2 linked regions of the Caenorhabditis elegans genome follow. The protein of the gene in region 1 purifies or fractionates together with the protein of each later gene. This does not show direct contact. Each region holds a gene or a part of one and is shown on either strand. Other genes may lie near its edges.

Region 1 (3,932 bases):
CAGAATCTTTTGTCCATTTGACAACTGGTTTCGGGTATCCTGTTACTGGACAAGTCAATGTCACTGATTCTCCTTTCTGGAAAAAAGTTTTTGAAATGATTACTGTAATTGTTTTGTATTTTTAGAAAATATTTATTTTGTATTACTTTAAAACGATTTTTTTAATTCAAAAGAACCCAAATTTTTTGAGGTTTATTAAAGGTAGCTTCAGGAGCAAAATCTTTTTTCACGCTTCACCAAAAAGTGGGAAAACCACAAAAAATGTGCATACCTCAACAGTAGTTCCAGTGCTTTCCAAATGGAATTCATGTCCTTCGTGCTCAGTAAAATGTTCGTGAGAATGTACAACAGGTCTTGCTGCAATTTCATTATTTTCATGTTTTTTTTTCCTTGGGGTCACCTGCCCCATCATTCCCTCACTCACAATAAATGAAGACTTTATGGCTGATCTTTCCGTGTGGTGTGTCCAACTCACATTTGTACTCGCCGGCATCTGCAAAACAACAAAATGAAATAGTATTGGAGATGTAGAGACGTAGACACACATGTGTTGTTAGCAACAATTCCATTGTTACCTAGATCCAGATGTTCCGATTGAACATATTTTGGTGATTTTGATACAGAGTTGGAATAAAGCTACCAAAAAACGTTTGATGCTTACAAAGTCAAGCTTTAGAGTTTCCAAAATGATCAGAGTTCCTCAAATATTACGAGAAAAAAGGAAAATCCCAACATGAAAAATTGGTTTTTTTTATATTTTTGGTTGATCTCTCTGGTTAAATTTCCTTCAAAATGAGAACTGCAAGACCAATCAGCGTTTTGCTCCGCCCTCTTCTGAACTACACTTCATCTGATTGGTTCAAAAGTGGGCAGAGTTAGTCGCTGATTGGTCTTGCAGTTTTGATATGATTTTAGAGGAGAAAATTATACTTTTCTGGAGAATCTTATTTCCTGAAACTGTTTTCACTAAACTCGATTTAAAAAAATTTCAGATTTCAATTGGCAACATTTGAGATGTTCCCAGTTTCACAAAACATGTTAAAATTGAAATTAGACTTGAAAAAGACTTTTCCATAACGATTTTTCCATCATTTATTAAATAAAAGTAGGCTTTTAACAAAAAATTCTAAATTGACTTTTTAAAGTTCAAAGTGTTCCTATACAGCTACACTTTCTATAGGGACCTATTTAAAACATTATCCTTCTAATGGAATAGGTTTTATTTATAAAATTGAGCTCAAACAAATTTTTTTGTAAGCCTTAAAAAATGCCAACAAACCTTTCACTGATGGTGATCCAAAGGTGTATGTCGCATTTTTCTTGGTTGGATTCAACGCAGCTTCGAGCTTTTCATTATCTGAAGATCGAATGAAATGTGCAGTTTTTATGACAACCTGAAACAACACTGTAAAAGTTAATTTATCATAAAGTGATAAAAACCTGTGGATTGTCTGGAGCACACCAAATTGTGATTGGATCAGTTGCATGAAGTGGATGATTTTCCGAAGAACGAGCAGCAACCAAGACCAATGCAGATTTGGATCCTCTTCCACCGAGAGCTGTGACAGTGCTCACCACGAAAAATGTGATTAGTAGTAGGTTTTTCATACTAAAAATATACTTTTAGAAAACTAATGAGAAAAACATAAATTGAGGAGAAATTGAAGAGAATTTTCTGATGCTTTAGAATTCCAAATTGAACAAAGAAACGAAAGTGCACTTTTTGAATTTCAAAATCAGATTTAAAGAGCAAATACGACATGCAGTAACAATACAATTAAAACAAAGATTATTCATAGAAATTTATGATATACTAGACTAGTTTTGGAGTTATACTCACTTGAAAACTTTAATAAACTCGATTTAGTGTTAAAATTGTAAAATGCAATTAAACTGGAATAAAATTGAAATGGTAATTTTTTGATTTTATGGTAGTCGCTATATTCAACTATAAAATGCGCAATTTTCAATTGATTCGTATAGTCAGTTGTTTTTGTTTGTTTATCAGAAAAATTGTTCACTATAATTTTTTATTCCACAGTTTTGTAGTTGATTATTTTTTTCAAATTTGTAAAATGAATTGAGCATGAGCTATATTGTGTTAAAGTGGAGTAAATGTGTGAACTCTCAACTAATGAAATACGGTATTCCCTAGTAAGAATTAATAAACATAAGTTCCCATGCTTGACCAATTGGTAAAATCATGAATAAGAATGCTCATGAAGCTACTAGATTCTATCCATAAAAGAAATGAATAAGGATCTCGAAGAATAAGCAGTAACCGATGAATAGGGGGTTCTTCTATCTAATGCTCTCTTATTTCCTCTTTTTCATTCTTTTCAATTCAATTCAAATTAGGAAGATAGATAGGTAGTGAGTGTGCAATGGAATAGAAATTGGAAGAGAGAGGATATCGAGAGGATATCGAGAGAAAAACGAAGAAGAAGAACCTTCTTCTTTCGTATTCCCAGGCCCGTTGCCGCGGGGCGAAAATTGGTGGAAAATGTGAGAGTAAAAAAGAGAGTGTGGAGAGTGAGAGAGACGCAGAAATGAGAGAAGATCTCTTGAAGAGAGCAAAAGGAGCAGAAGAAGAAGAAGAGCAAGGAAAAGACGCGCTTGACTTCTGGGAGCTATTAGAGATGAGAGTTTAAGAGTAAAGAACGAGAGGAAAAGAGAGAGGAAGAGACTAAAGTGGTTCATCTCCCAAGAGACCTTCCAATTGTCGGATTATTCCTGTTGGAGACATTTTGATTTTTGACTCTTTCATGTGACAGTTCAAAATTTGAAAATGCCTTCTGATCAATGTTGGGATAATTGCCATCTTTTTTCGAACTAGTTGCACTCGATCCTAAAAATATCATTGTAGCTGTCAGATTATCCCTGGTCTTCCAAGAAAATAAATGTTTCATTTGAAAGAACATGCAAAGCTTTGATTAGAATATCATCAAATGTAAGCGGGAAAACTCAACTAATACCCTCTGAAATGTAGATCTGAAACCCGTAGAATTTTTCAACATCAGTTTTCTGTGGTCTTATGATAAGTTTAGAGATGATAGGAAGCTTTTTGGAATTTTGGTATTCTCGGGAAAATTTTTTAAAAAACAACATAAATCGTATAAATAATTTTCAATAACTTTTCAGACCGATATTTCAGACGGAAGGAGTTGAATTAGACCGTTCAATTTTTGAGATATATAAGTCTAGAAGACTATCCTATATATAAAAAACATGAAAAGAACGAAATTGGATTGAAATCGTCACAAAAGGCACCATTCAAACCTGCAGTAAATTGAAATCTGTTCATGAATAACCTCTCTTGAGAGAACCTTTTGCTCATTCACAATTCGACCTCTTTCTTTAACATCTCCATTTCTTGAATACTATTTCTGCTTGTCACATCACTTATGCAAACCAGAAAGAGCAACATGTCACATTGAAAAGTCCCAGGAAAAAACTCGACAAATTGGGGTAAGAAAAGGCAAAAAAAGAGTCAAAACGGAATGCTAAAAGCATTTCTTCTCAGAGCCTTGGATAAAGTAAAGGAAAAAGAGAAAAAAAAAGAGAAAGCTGTAGTGGTCCAACCCTGTTAGTTTCCGGTTAAAGTAATGGAAAGGAAATGGATAGAAAGTGGACGAGAAAATGAATGTCATGACAACCTTGTTTTTATTTTTCATTCTTTCAAATGGTTATACATATGTATTTATTCCTTGTTGTTCATCACTTGAAAGTGAATACAAACAACAACAGGAGCACAAAAATGATAATATCAGCTAATTTAAGATTGGTTTCTTCCAGTTCGAAACAATACAATTCTAGATGATTAGGTTCACACTGTTCGTGGATTGAAACGTCCGCAATGTGTGCATTACGAACTGTCGTTTTCGTGATGCGTCCATACTGAGACAGTTTGCGTCCGTCGCAAATTAACTGTG
Region 2 (3,932 bases), on another chromosome or scaffold:
TAGTTCACAATTGTTTTTTAAAAGATTAATCGAGGGACGTCCTAATAACGAAAAAAAATTCTGATGCTGTGGTTTCAAGTTGTCAAATGAGAAGGGTTTTATGTAATCAAGTTTCATTTTTGTGATATTGTACCTGAACTTCCAATTGAAAAAAAAAAGTTGGTTAAATGTGATGAAATCAAAAACCTTGAACAAATGGTAGCTTCATCTCTTTTTTCTTTCCTGAAACAACGCAACATTTCAATAAAGTCCTCCGCAGATCGTTTCTTCCGAAATCCCACGCTGATCTGGTCAGAAGTACCTCCAAAGTACAGTCCATTTCCTCTTCAAAGTGCTCATGCACACACCCATGCCACGGCAGACATGACGTAATTGACCGTCTTCGGAGCACACCCTGGAAGTATAAAAGACATGTGCTGATCCATTTTCAACACACTTCCCCATATTCTCACTTTCATTTCGGTGTTCCAAAATGGCAAAGATATTCTGTATGTTAGTTGTCCTTTTGGTATCATCGTCTTTTTGTTCTGCTAAAGATTTGAAACGGTCTAAACGGCAGATGCAAGTTTATTATATGTGCAATGGAGGTGTATCTCAATATCGTAAGTTATAGCGACTTGGAACTTTTAAATAATTTCGCATGGTCATTTAGCGTGTAACTCAAACAACAACTGTAATAACAACAATTGTAACTTCAACAATTATGGAAATCAAGTTATTCTTCCTTCTTCATTTTACAATCCAAACATGAATTGCAACTCAAACTGTAACAATCTCAACTGCAATCAATATTCAGGATCCTGGCTTAATGGGTTAGACTTTTCAGGTTTTAAATTAAAGCTATAATCTAATTTTTAGACAATATGTTGCCTATAACATGGGATCCAATGCTTACTCTCCATGTGCTAGCTCATGCTGTTCCAACAACAACAACAACTATAATCCATACATCAATAACAACTACAATGGAAACTATAATCCATATGGAACCAGCAATGGAGGTTATAATGCATATGGAACTATTCCTGTAAATGTAAATGTACCAAGCAGCAGCACAAATACAAATGTAAACCAGTACTTGCCGTACGGAGCACAACAGTTCACTGGAACTTACCAAAACGGACGTAAGGCATAACTAACAACTCTACTAATTTTGTTATGTTTTAACCTTATTCTTAATAAATATAAAACACTTTCAACAAATAGAGTTGTCGTTTCCAGAGTTCTTCTGTGGAGCCACAGAGCCATCGGGTGGAGTTTGTCGTAACAACGGGGTGTGCCCATCAGGACATAGTTGCGTAGCCGGAAATGTCTGTTGTCGTTGTCCAGTTGGATCAAGCGCCGGAAACTGTATACTTCAAAGTGACTGTTCTGCTGGATATGAATGCATGGGAACTGGATATTGTTGTCCTTCTCAAGTCTTATCAACAACTAAACTTGGACCATGTGTTGATGGAGCCTGTCCACTTCCTGGATACACTTGTGGCGTTGGAGACTTGTGCTATCCAGATAGTTACTTTTTGTAATTTATTGAATTTCTGTTATGTATTGAATTTTCCATTGTTCTTGTTCTCTGCTCAATTTGAAATCTCTTTGTATTATTTATTGAAGGTTAATGGCGTAATTAATAAACATTTTAATAACTTTTTATCTCTGGAAGTCAAAATCTGCAGTTGGCATCATTATGGTAATAAATTGCTAGTAAAATTCATAACTTATTTGATTAAAAACTACTAGGTGATCAATTTGATGAAATTCGATCATATTTTGAAGCATAGAACCAGGGACAGCGATGGCGAGGACATGGGCATGGGTTTTGCTATTGTTCTTTCAAAACCAATTCCACCCTATTGTCAATATTTTTGACATTGGCAAACGAACTTCTCTGAAAACTTTTTTTTCTTCGTGTTTTCAAACTTCAAGTAAACCTTCTGCAATGTCTAATACTGTCCTAACAAATGAAGATCGTTATTTTCTCTTGGATCGTAAATCCTATCGTTGAAATAGAATTTCCGCGACGAGTGAACCGCGTAACGTTTACCCAAATCTGAAGATGGCATCTACGGCATCCGTACAATAAAACGGTATCCATTATTTTTGAATTTCCAGATTCCAACCTCGTTCATCCATATTTTAATAAATTTAATCATGACGAAAATTAAACGACAAATTAATAATTTCGATTTTCGTCGAATCAAAATACTTTTGAAAAAATGGAATGTTGTAATTTACTTTGTACTAATACTTATATGTTTCTATTTTATTATTCCTATATATTTTCCGAACAACGATAAAATGAATTTGTGGTTATCATCAATTAAATATTATTTGACGTATCCCATTTATAATGAATCTTTAACAAAAACGGATGCATATATAATCAATACATATTACTATCCAAAATCGAGTTCATTAGGAGAAAATGCGATTGGAATGATTCTTTTAATGAATCGAAATACTCAAAGAGACATGACAAAGTATAGAATGAAATTGATTGCATCTAACTCTTCACATCAATCCGTGATTGTCACACCCAAGTTCTTGGAGTCAGCTGATTTTTTTGTCTTTTTTTTCATTTTTAATTTTTTAGAGAATCGTACTCCAGTTGCCCATACATTAACATGGTTGCAATGGTAAATACTTTGCCAAATTTGAACAAGTTGGAGATTTTTGATGGTGAAAGAAAAATGGAGGTTCGTGATTTAATATTGAAAAAAAAACGTCTATTCTTGGTTTATCAAAGTTAAATTATAGAAAACCCTGTTCCAGATTCCGTTCCAAATGGGTAAAACTACAGCTCCAGCATCTGTAATTATATGTATTTCTCCTCAATTTGTGGCAGAGCAGTGGCAATTATTTGTGGCACATGCACATGTTGCTCGGAAATTTGGAGGTCATCTTCACATGTACGTTACAAGTATCATAGATACATTCTTCGATTTGGTCCAAGAGTACGAAAGACTTGGTTATGTTACAATTGACTATTGGATGAGATTGAAATTGGCAAACTCATCGGTTGATTCTGTAGAGCCTAATCTTCATTCGGAACTAAGAAATCAAGCAGGAGCTCAATCGGATTGTCTTTATCAATACAAAGAAGCTGCTGCGTTTATCACTTTTTTCGATTTGGATGATATTTTCATTCCACGTGGGTATGATTCGTATTTTGACGAATTTTCTGCTTTGTATGAGCTTCATCCAAATATTCTAACATTTCAATATACAAAAAGAGAAACAATGGTCTACAATAAAGCAAAAATAGAAGATATAAATTTCGAAGAGTTGTTTGGTCACACTTGGTTTGTGAATGAAGAAGATTACGGAAAAGTTATGACAAAACCTGGAAATTTGAATTCAATGTGGATTCACGAATCATGGAATATTCCAACAAATCGGCATCATGTTAGTAAAAGCAATTACATAATTCATATGCAGAAACCAGTTGATCCAGATGGAACTGATCCAGTTTCCTATCGAATGAGCAATTTTGAAATGTTGGAGAGCATGCAACTGAATGCTTCTACTTTGATACCCATTCAGGATGACTTGGAAAGGTCTTTTTATTACAACTTTTTGAAACTTTTGAAACTTGAAACTTTTGAAGGAAATCTTCTTGAAGTATTCAATTTTTGATACAAAAAAATCCACAATGTTTTATATATTTATGTGTCATGAATACAATTTTAATCAACTCACAAACGAATCGATTCTATTCTTTCTTACTAAAAAAGTTTTTCAGAGTACTCAAATCATCGAATATTTCTATGACCGCTGAAGATCTACCAAATAAAACATACTACTTCCCAATTATTTACCGATGTTATTATGAAAAATTTTACAAAAAACCAAAGAAAGACTCATGTCCAAATGGAGAGGGATGCTTGGTGAGTTACCAAATTTGTTATAATATTAAAAAGTATTCAATTAATTTC

What was found.
Region 2: the proteins of zig-1 (region 1) and gtnt-14 fractionate together in Caenorhabditis elegans (co-fractionation; one large-scale study listed by BioGRID). This does not show direct contact.

What each region holds. Positions count from the first base shown.
Region 1 is NC_003279.8:9,845,083-9,849,014, reverse strand, and holds the start of zig-1 (Zwei Ig domain protein zig-1), read right to left. Parts: upstream 1,610-3,932; 5' UTR 1,609-1,609; coding exon 1,441-1,608; intron 1,395-1,440; coding exon 1,280-1,394; intron 494-1,279; coding exon 425-493; intron 358-424; coding exon 272-357; intron 77-271; coding exon 1-76. UniProt on the Caenorhabditis elegans protein: Probably not involved in maintaining the position of ASI and ASH head neuron cell bodies and ventral nerve cord axons of PVQ, PVP, RMEV, AVK and HSN neurons.
Region 2 is NC_003283.11:10,503,764-10,507,695, forward strand, and holds the start of gtnt-14 (Glycosyltransferase family 92 protein C35A5.5), read left to right. Parts: upstream 1-2,089; 5' UTR 2,090-2,148; coding exon 2,149-2,546; intron 2,547-2,590; coding exon 2,591-2,693; intron 2,694-2,769; coding exon 2,770-3,554; intron 3,555-3,739; coding exon 3,740-3,884; intron 3,885-3,932. Other genes in the region: C35A5.10 (uncharacterized protein), read left to right, coding at 473-602, 653-812, 859-1,124, 1,222-1,526.